Tribolium castaneum: one gene and its partners. The main gene of each other region encodes a partner of the protein of the gene in region 2 in a complex. Links are inferred from orthologs where the notes say so. Each region holds a gene or a part of one and is shown on either strand. Other genes may lie near its edges. The genes, in order: Tim9a, Tim10 and Mulk.

Region 1 (4,319 bases), on a different chromosome or scaffold from region 2:
TAATTCTCTCCTCATGTTTTTTGTCTAGTGGTTGCTCGATCTGCGCAAAAAAGTGCACTTACCGGGAGGTGTTCCCGTACCTGTTGTGATTCTAGCAAATAAGGGTGATATTACGATTGCAACCCTGCCTCAAGAAATAGTGCATTTCTGCGAGAAATACAACATATTAGCGTGGTTTATCACTTCAGCGAAGGATAATGTCCACATAGGTAAAAATAAGCGTTATTCAAGCGTGGTAAGTAATCTTTTATTGCAGATGAGGCAATGTTGACTCTGATAAATGCAGCAGTGGAAAATCACGAAAATTTGCAATTTCCCGCTGCCGTAGACAATGACGTGGTCCATTTAGCAAATGAGGATACTCAGTTTTGTCAAAACAATCAAACACACTGTTGTCAAAGATGAGGCTATATTTTGTAACAAACTAACAATAACAAACACAAATAAATTATCGTTCAGGTCGGATTTTGGCCGAGTTTTTGCGCCGCCGCGATTGCATTCTCATTCGCAAGCATTTGGAACTCCTGGAATCGTTGAGAAATGCGTTGATTTACTTTGAGAAATTTTTCGAGGCAATTTAACGCACAGCGATCCTGTAATAGCAAAATAAAATGATCAGAAACCGACAGTCGTTACTTACTTCACTCCCTTTGATATTCCGAGATGTGAAATCCGAAACACAGTCCGTGAAACACAATTCGGCTAGTTTATTGTAAGAGATGAGGAAATCTTTGAACTGCAAATAAAAATTTGAGAATTGAAATTGTTGTTTTTTTGAAATTACCGTTTTAACTTGCTCTGCATCGACATTTTCGAGCCCGGCACCGGGGGGAAGTGTTACATTCATTTTAATTTAAGTTTTGTTGTGGTTTTCACCACAGAACAGAAAGGGTTAAGAAGTGATAATTCCCTAGTAAATCACTGGCAACACGAGAATCCAGCGCCTCTGGTGCTGAAGTGCGTTACTACCACGGTAAAGTGCCACGTTTGAATAAATTCCTTTTATATTGTTTTTTATTATTTTTATCTTACAAGTTTCATTGCAAATTGTTTAAAATAAAAAAATATATTTTCATTTTAAACAAAATGAAAACGTTTTATATTTATTTTAAACAAAATTTGAAATGAAACTTACAAAAAAAGTTGTTTTGGGGTAATAAAACACAGATTTTGTTAACATTTTTATTGTACACTTGAGTAACATAACAAATTAAATTTTTCAAAAAATTAAAGTATTGTATTATTTCTTAATTATACAAAAATTATAAAAAAATTAAATCAGTCAGTGTTGGCATGTTTTGCCTGTCTGCTCGAGACTTAAAACAAAATAAGGTCTGCTTTGCAATGACTTTTACCTTGTCTGTCAGCAAACAGTTGCCCACGCTACGACCACGAGGAGGTACATGCAGTGCACTGACACACTCGAGCGCAAATAAGAAACTTAAAAGTAAATTCTGAAATACCCTAAATAGCGAAAACGCCAAAATTTTGAACTTACAGGATCCTCAATTTTGCAGGCATTCCTCCACAATTCTTGAAGCTTTGGATTCTTAGGGAAGGTGAAGAAATGCTTATTGGACTGTCCTTTGTTGGGAACATAATCACTGGTGCATCCGGGGTATTTGCAGGAATATTTGCGATAACCAGCCATGACTAAAGTTCAGTTGAGTAGTAGAAATCAAAAATCCGTCACTCCAGACCAATGCCTTTAAAATAGAAAGAAACACCAATCAAAAAGATGAGGTTATATTAATAAAATAAGAGATACTTATCTTTTTGGTCGGCGCTCAACACCAGGAATTGACTCACTAACGAACTGTAATCAGAATTTTTGCTTTGATTAAACGATTAAACAAATAATTGCTACATACTTCCGGTAACACGTTGAACGATGAGTGACAAAACAACACTTTTGGCGCGATATTTTCGGTGCGATCTGCGCGCAAGCGTAGATGTCATTGTTACGTCAAAAAATATAATTTAATGAAATCCCTAATAAATACGCGCTTGTTTTAAAATAAGCAGTCGTCATTGGTCGTCCCTTTTCATCTCCCCGGGAGTGCAAAACCCCCCTCGCCTATACTCTCGTGTTGCCAATGCGCGTATCCCACTTTCACCCCCATGGTTTTCACGAGGTAAATTTGTGAGGTTATGCAAATCAGTGATTGTCACTTGACAAGAGGTGGATAAAAGAGAAAACTGCACAGGCATCCCGAACTGATATAGCCAAATCGAGCTCTCACTGACACAGCTTCCTTGATTAATGAAGGGACTTTCCCTTCACACGGCTGGCCGCATTGCTTAGTTCCTTGGCATATTTTTGTTTCTGAGAGGGAGCCACTATAAAGTAAAACAATTCTGACAGTTCTAAGGTTAAGTGTTGTCACACTGCTGTCAGTGCAGAAGATTTCTAAGGCAAAACGCATTAGTTTTAGCTATATAGTTGTAGAAAACGTATTCTACAAACATTTGGCACGTGTTTTTACTATGAGGAACCAAAAGCGCATGTTGCCATGTGAGCGACCAAGAGCATATGCCAAGAGCGAACTGCGAAACACAAAACGAACGTAAAAAGCATCATACAAACTTGAACATTTTGCCGAATGGTAAACAAACATTTTTATGCTCACGAAAATGATCAAAAGAGTGTTGGAACGCATTTGCAACCAACTGTACAAAATGTAATTAGTGTCCAAATGCTTTGCATTTCAAATTTAGATTAAAACTTGTGGAAAAAAATTAAACTAAGCTTTGTCTTGCCTTCCTGTTAGCAAAATTTTGTATAAATCTTGTGCAAAAGAGGTTGAAAACTTAAATTTGTAAAAAATATGACGGCTGTCACGTTTGAAACCAAGTGAATTTTTCAGCAGCAACTAATAGATGGCGCTACAATAAAGTAAGCTCTCAAAAAACACTTTTTTTGTTCAATGCGACCAGCCGTGTAAAGGGTACCTCCCTTCACTAATCAAGGAAGCTGTGCTCACTGAATTAGGTTTTACTGATGATGCGGATAGATGGCCTTAGTGTTTTACGGGAAAAAAAAATCCTATTGGCGGATTTAAAATTTCAGATTATTGAAGAAAAACGTGGTGCCGATGCGCGGCTGACAAGTAAAAATTTCACAAACGTCACAAATTTCACAAATTTGAGTTTTATGAAATTATTAGTTAGTGAAATAAATAAATACGACACCTTCACCTACCTTCATATCGCTTCCACGTTGGCTACCGTTTGTAGCATTAAAAAAAATTAAAAACAACACCAATAAAAAATCTTTATTTGCATGAAAATTACAACAAGCGACATAATTTTACGGCTGTAAAAAACAGTCAACAATGTTATATTTAAGGATTGCTCTAATTGGTCAAATTAGTCAATAACTAATTTGTCCGGCAAGAACCACGTGGAGGTTTAGAGCATTCTTGCCAGGAAAAATGGATATAAGGATGAGGTAAACAATGATTACTTCAAATGAAGGGAATAAAGGAATTATTGGTTTGTGAAATGAAAAAATAGTACACAAAAATCAAAGCTTTTTCACTTGGCGTTAAATAAATGCTCTTACCTTTATACTGCATCTGCTACCATTTGTAGCAAAACCTAAAAAATAAATTAAAAACACAACCAACAAAAAAATTAATTTGTAGGAAAGTTACAACAAGCGACTTTAATAAATATTATACAGAATAAAGAATACACAATACGGTATAATATATGGCACACAAGCTATTAAATCAACACATCACAAGATAAAACGCAAAAAAATGCACCTACCTTCATATGGCTTCTGCGTTGGCTACTGTTTGTAGCATTAAAAAAAATAATAATAAAAATGAAACCAAAATAAAATGTTTATTTGCATTAAATTTTGAGCAAGCCACTTTCATTCATTGAAATTAAAGGCAAAATTTCGTGGCAATAAATTATTTGAGTGGTTTATTTTATTTATAGTTACTGTATTTAAAATGTGTCACTCAAAACATCACTTTTCAATACCGCATTTAAAGATTTTAATTGCAATTAAGTTTTATGAAATTATTGGTTTGTGAAATAAATAAATACGACACAGCAATAAAATACACCTACCTTCATATCGCTTCCACGTTGGCTACCGTTTGTAGCATTAAAAAAAATAATAATAAAAATGAAACCAAAAAAAAATAATAATAAAAATGAAACCAAAAAAAATGTTTATTTGCATTAAATTTTGAGCAAGCCACTTTCATTCATTGAAATTAAAGGCAAAATTTCGTGGCAATAAATTATTTGAGTGGTTTATTTTATTTATAGTTACTGTATTTAAAATGTGTCACTCAAAA
Region 2 (2,364 bases):
TCCGCTTAATCTTATTTTACTAAATTTTAGCAACGAGGTCAAAGTTGTTAAAAAAAGCACCAAAGCAACGAAACAAACAGGAACCAAGATTTTGGTTCGAAATATCCCATTCCAGGCTAACCAGAAGGAAATTAGGGAACTTTTTAGGCATTTTATTAAAATTTAATTGTACTACTAACATGACTTAATTAATTGTTTTAGTGTTTTTGGCGAAATTAAAGCGTTAAGGCTCCCAAAGAAAATGGCCTTGGATGGGGGCTCACATCGAGGTTTTGCGTTTGTCGATTTTGTGGCAGCCTCTGATGCCAAGGTGAATTAATTATTAATTGTAACTTGTTAGCATAATTATTTTTTTAGAATGCATTTGAGGCTTTGTGTCAAAGTACCCACTTGTACGGTCGGAGACTAGTTCTCGAGTGGGCCTCAAGTGAGGACAGTGTGGACGATATCAGGAAGCGAACAGCGGCTCACTTCCAAACCACTGAAGCAGTCAAGTCGAAGAAAAGTGTTTTAAGCATTGATTAATTAAAAATAAAAACTACACTTTGTCTAGTCAAGTTTATTACCTCTAGAATAAACCAACATTACAAAATTAAATTACAAACAAAAACAAAACATAACTAAGTCCAACTACGGGGCGCTCCAATTATTTCTTAAGAAGTTGCTCGTCTTGCATTGAAAGTTGGCCAAGTTTCTTGCCAATGCGTTCATGGATGTCTAGAAATTTGGCCACACATCTATCAATGCAAACGGCTTCGCCTTTGGCAATTTCCGCGTCGTTGTAAACGGGAGGAATGCACTTTTTGTGGCATGCTGTAGTTAGACGGTTGTACATGTCTGCCATCATTTCGATTTCCAATTCTTGCATCAACTGCAACTTTTGAGCGTCACTCTCTGCCATTTCAATTCCGTGCAAATGTGACGCGTTATTAACGATAATTAAGTTCGAGGAGTGTGACGAGGACCCAATTCGTAATCACCAACGTTCGAGAGTCGCATGCGTTCCCTTATTTTCATATTATCATAACGCCTTTTCTCAACACTGGATTTGGACAAGTAGAACAAGTAAATACCAAACGTTGTACATATGGTCCTGCGAACCGACAAATTATTGCAATAAAACGATTTTTCGGTGCGAAAGTGAGGTTATGGTCAGTCGTTGCCTACTTTTGGAACTTACCATCCAATTCCTATTTTTGCATGTGTCCCTAAGCGCATACTTCCACCAATGCCTTAACTCATTATTTAACAAACTAGGAGTTGTTAAAAATATCAAAAATCGTGAATTTTTAAAATTGTGGTTATGCTCACATGGACTTTTGCGGTTACGTTGCGTGTACGTTCGTTGCGTTATGGAAGCACAAAAAGTCTAGTTTACACGTGATTTCCATTTATTTAAGGGATGGTTTACAACAAATCTAATAGAAATCACAGTAGAGATCTATTTTAGTTTGCCCTAACCCTTGGTCAGTTGAAATTTGATTTTTGCATTTAGCAGCAATTTGCTCGAAAACTATTAGTCGGAGAACAATAATATTTTTTGAAAAAAATAGATAATTTAAAGAGCTTTCCAACAATAATACACATCATGGGGTTATCTCTAATAGTTCCGGAGCTATTGCTCGACAAATGTTCCGGGTACCCAAAATCGACAAAAACTGCGACGAAAATTGAAAAAATCAAACATCAAAAAATCGAACATTTGGACTTTTTGTGGACTTTTAACAACTTTAGTGGGTTGTTAAGACATGTAGAAGTCCATAAAAATTTGCTGAAGTTAGTTTAAAAAAATTTTTTTTTTCAACTTTTTGAAGGTACTGTATTTTACTCAGGAAATTTGGGCAAAAAAATTAAAATTTTAAATCTCGTGAAAAGTTGGTATAATACAGAAAATAAACCGCTGAATTCAATGGAACAAACCGCATTGCTCTACGACTTTTAGTTTTTGAGTTATGAATTTTTTTAATGAATAAAATTTTTCAGTATGACAAATGGCTACCCTAAATTTAGGCAAAAAATTTTAAATTTTTAATTCTTGTGAAAAATCGATATAATATGTAAAATGAGCCGTAGAATTCAGTGGAACAAACCGGAATTCTCTACGACTTTTAGTTTTTTTTTTATGAATTTTTTTAGTGAAAAACTTTGATCGCCTCTGTAGCCGGAACCGTTGCCCGGAGCGGCTCCGGGTTTGGTCGAAAAAATAGATAAAATTAAGCGCTATCAGATGGTTTTTTGTTCGTTGCTCTAAGTCTTACAGTTTCCGAGAAAAACGCCAAAAAAAGTTTCCATTTTCAATTTTTTCCAATTTTCAACTGCCAATTACGGCGAAACTATTAAAGATATCGAGAAACGGAAAAATGG
Region 3 (3,301 bases), on a different chromosome or scaffold from region 2:
TTTACCGTTAACTGTATGCAAGTTGGCTCTGGTTGTTTAACACCAGATCATTTGTTTTGTTTTTTAGTTTATTTTTTTGTCAATCAAGTGTAACTAGATTTAGTACAGCAGTATTGAACCAAGTGATTCCGTTTGGTTGTAAACATACCTCAAGAAGAAAGAAAAAAAAAGTAATTTCCAAGCCAGGGCCATACCAATCCACTACCGCAAGTACAGTGGTAAATGTGTTCAAAATATAATACCAGTTTGTACATGAAGCTTGAGAGTTGTTTGTTCAGTACGATTTTATATAATTTGGCAAACGGTTGACTAAAGATAACGCACTGAAAAACAACTCGAGAGTTGTTTTGTAAATACTTAACTTAATGAATAATCACTAGAACTGTATTTATCGATACACTTATTTATTTACGTCATGTGCAGTTACAATTAATCATTCACGATTTAGTTGACGGAAAAAATGCAATGATTCTCAGCAATGTAGAAAATATGATGATAGTGTAAAATTATGCGATCTATGAATTCCTAATTTCTTTGTTATTTAAATAAATTTACATCAAAACGGCGGCTTTCAACCTTATTTTTAACGATTTGTAAATGTTAAAAGAAAACCAATTTGGGCAGTTTAATTATTTTATTTACAAATTTTCTTTTTTACAAAACACATTAATTAATTTCGGTAATAGCGTAACTCTGACCGGTTTCAGCTCATAATTTTCATTATCAATGGAAAACCATTTCTCCTCATTTTGATTGATTTTCGGTTGAATTTCCACAGATCTCGCCTCAATTATTTCCCTCACTTTTCTTTTTTCTCCTTTTTCCGACTTCCATCCTTCTTTAACAAAATCGAAATAATTGACACTTTTCGGACCAACATTGACCACCAATTTCGGGACTTGTTCACTTTCAACTTCTAGATTAAAATCAACCGTTGAAATATACTTTTGATAAATCATCTGACATTCCGGATTAATAATATTCGAAAAACCCGGCTTTTGGTCTTTGGCAAATCTAAATAATTGTACAAAAAGTAAGTACCACTTACCAAAGTGGGGTCTAATCAGATTATAATGTAATTAAAGTAATAACAATATAATCTGATTACTTTGTATTCAATTACTTTTTTTATTATTTGTAATAAGTTACAAATGCCACTTACCTCTGGAACCACTTTTTTTGTTGTTGTGACTGTTTCGCACAATTTGAACAACCTGAACAAGGTGGTGTGTAATTAAGTTCAGCTGAACAATTCCAAGACAAGTTATTTCTTAATCCGTTAAATAAGTAAGTCACATAATTACGAAATTTGCCATAAAGCCAGTAACTGTCTCTTTTAGTTTCCGCGTCTCTGTAAGCCCCCCATTTGATCCCAGAAACTGCATAAATCGGTTTGTTTTCATTTTCCAACACCTCAACTTTTAACACATTAATAGGTTTCACAACCTCTTCAACAACTGCCATTGTGGCATCAGCCAACGAGCGAACCTTCTCCAAATGACTCCCACAAGGAAACAAAATTTTAGCAACAGAATTTGTTTTACCCAAAGGCAAGACACCTTCAAACCTTTATTATTTTCACCAAAAACCCACTAACACAAACCTATTGGAATCAAACCGTTGGTGTTTTCCTGCGTACGCCTCAAAAGCCCCGTTATCACCTCAGAGACAGTCCCATCGCCCCCAGCCACAACCACAGCATCAGTCCCGTTTAAATCATTGATAAGAGTCCTGGCGTGCCCCTCTGACTCTGTCCTAACAACATTGACACAAATTCCAGCCAAATGCAACAGGGGGGCGCAATATTTCTCAAATTCATCACCAGCTTTACGCTTATTGGCATTGGGGTTGAGAATTACCGTAACGTTACGGGGGTCAGCCTCCACACGAATTGGTTCAAGACCAAATCTTGCCGCCTTTTCGCAATAAACACGCATCAATTCTTGGGTCCTAACATAAAATTTGAGGGGGCTAATGTGAGGTTATGTCACTCACTCGAAACGTTCCTTGGCGTATTCAAAGCCGTACAGTAGGGCCACGGCTGCAAACGTTGACTTCTTCCAATGATTGCGTAAAGTTTTTGCCGTTTTTAGTACAAAAGTCATGTTTTGTTTAAATTTATTAGCATAACCTCAAATTTGACTAATGGAATGGTTCAAGGACAAGACGGCGCGTAATTTGAAAATTGCCGTAAATTAGAGAATTTGCAATTTCCTGGATTGTTAGGCGTCGTAATTGGTAAATTATTTAGTTTGTGTGAAAAATGCGGTTGATAACTGTGGTCTTGTTCCTTGTTTTAGCCCAAATCGAAGCCAAAACGTATTATTTTAATTTGAATAAAACTACAAATGAGTTCATGGTTCGGAATCGTGTCAATTTTAATCAAACGAATTATCCCGCAATTCAAATAAGTGAACTCAGGAATAATAGGAACGTCACACGTAAAACTGCCACAAATACGAATGTAATAATAATGTTGTAGTACTAGTAAATTAGAAAAAAAATTGTTTTAGGGCACTAAACCCTACATTCACCCACTTTTAGACTCCGAATGGAACTACAATTGGACCAACATCACCCGAAATAAACTACCATCATACATTTACAAATATTACGAAGCATATTCGCAAAATGTGGCAGCTCCTGTTCACATTCTCTTCAACGCAAATCCGCTAAATTCAACCATAATCAAATTTAATTCGAGTAAATTGGACGTTGCGGAGGTTGAGTTACATTTCTACCACAAAGTTGAGGCCAATTTGACACAAAAATCGCTAATTTTGCGCCTTTATCAAGTCGAAAATGATATCAATGAAACGGCTTTGATAAATCCAGATTCACACAAACTGCTCAATGTGATTTACATTTATCAAGCTGAAAGTGGCTGGCAGGTAACAATTATATTGAATTTTCATTCAACACTTAAATCATCGCCAGGTGTTTAAATTAACCAAATCGTTGCATAATTGGATAAAAAAAACAACGGATTTGTCGATATTTATCACAATTTCGAAACCAAACGACGAACAATTTAATCTTTTTAACGACAGTAATAGAAACGCGTTTAGGACTTTTCTTATATTAAAATCAGAATCGCCGAGAAGTGATGGTAAGTTATTTTTTCTAAGTTACATAATTTAGGCACAAAACACTTGGCTCCATATTTTCGCCCAACCCTGTATGTTTATTGTATTGTAGGAACAAATGATGAAATTACCGAAAGTAACGCTTGCAGAAGACATGATTTATACGTCGACTTCCAAAAACTCAACTGGATGAAATTTATTATATCACCAGCTGG

What was found.
Region 1: the proteins of Tim10 (region 2) and Tim9a are in contact, whole or in part, in a crystal structure (PDB 2BSK), measured with the Homo sapiens proteins. The link is inferred for Tribolium castaneum from reciprocal best matches to the Homo sapiens genes TIMM10 and TIMM9. Residues at the interface, in NP_036588.1 of Homo sapiens: Glu16, Met17, Asp20, Met21, Arg24, Ala28, Cys29, Lys32, Cys50, Arg53, Cys54, Ser56, Lys57, Tyr58, Asp60, Ile61, His62, Arg64, Met65, Gly66, Lys68, Leu69, Leu72; in NP_001291414.1 of Homo sapiens: Lys15, Leu18, Gly19, Tyr21, Asn22, Lys23, Thr25, Glu26, Cys28, Phe29, Leu30, Val33, Asp35, Phe36, Thr37, Thr38, Arg39, Glu40, Val41, Glu45, Thr46, Glu50, Leu53, Leu57.
Region 3: the proteins of Tim10 (region 2) and Mulk are in contact, whole or in part, in a cryo-EM structure (PDB 7CGP), measured with the Homo sapiens proteins. The link is inferred for Tribolium castaneum from reciprocal best matches to the Homo sapiens genes TIMM10 and AGK. Residues at the interface, in NP_036588.1 of Homo sapiens: Glu40, Glu42, Leu43, Ser44, Lys45, Gly46, Ser48, Arg53; in NP_060708.1 of Homo sapiens: Phe49, Gly50, Asn51, Gln52, Leu53, Ile54, Pro55, Pro56, Val60, Ser91, Gly92, Met93, Asp94, Val95.

What each region holds. Positions count from the first base shown.
Region 1 is NC_087402.1:6,646,546-6,650,864, reverse strand, and holds Tim9a (mitochondrial import inner membrane translocase subunit Tim9), read right to left. Parts: upstream 2,928-4,319; 5' UTR 2,133-2,927; intron 1,861-2,132; exon of another isoform or gene 1,501-1,860; intron 1,448-1,500; exon of another isoform or gene 980-1,447; intron 877-979; 5' UTR 848-876; coding exon 785-847; intron 737-784; coding exon 641-736; intron 625-640; exon of another isoform or gene 594-624; coding exon 456-593; 3' UTR 406-455; downstream 1-405. Other genes in the region: ras-related protein Rab-32, read left to right, coding at 29-209, 257-405. UniProt on the Homo sapiens protein: Mitochondrial intermembrane chaperone that participates in the import and insertion of multi-pass transmembrane proteins into the mitochondrial inner membrane.
Region 2 is NC_087394.1:33,997,175-33,999,538, forward strand, and holds Tim10 (mitochondrial import inner membrane translocase subunit Tim10), read right to left. Parts: upstream 1,042-2,364; 5' UTR 902-1,041; coding exon 647-901; 3' UTR 545-646; downstream 1-544. Other genes in the region: probable RNA-binding protein 19, read left to right, coding at 31-147, 202-310, 358-525.
Region 3 is NC_087402.1:192,888-196,188, forward strand, and holds Mulk (acylglycerol kinase, mitochondrial), read right to left. Parts: upstream 2,133-3,301; 5' UTR 2,106-2,132; coding exon 1,996-2,105; intron 1,977-1,995; coding exon of another isoform or gene 1,951-1,976; coding exon 1,604-1,950; intron 1,560-1,603; coding exon 1,163-1,559; intron 1,015-1,162; coding exon 639-1,014; 3' UTR 616-638; downstream 1-615. Other genes in the region: E3 ubiquitin-protein ligase TRIM33, read left to right, coding at 1,781-1,976; derriere protein, read left to right, coding at 2,264-2,464, 2,514-2,891, 2,938-3,109, 3,199-3,301. UniProt on the Homo sapiens protein: Lipid kinase that can phosphorylate both monoacylglycerol and diacylglycerol to form lysophosphatidic acid (LPA) and phosphatidic acid (PA), respectively. Does not phosphorylate sphingosine. Phosphorylates ceramide.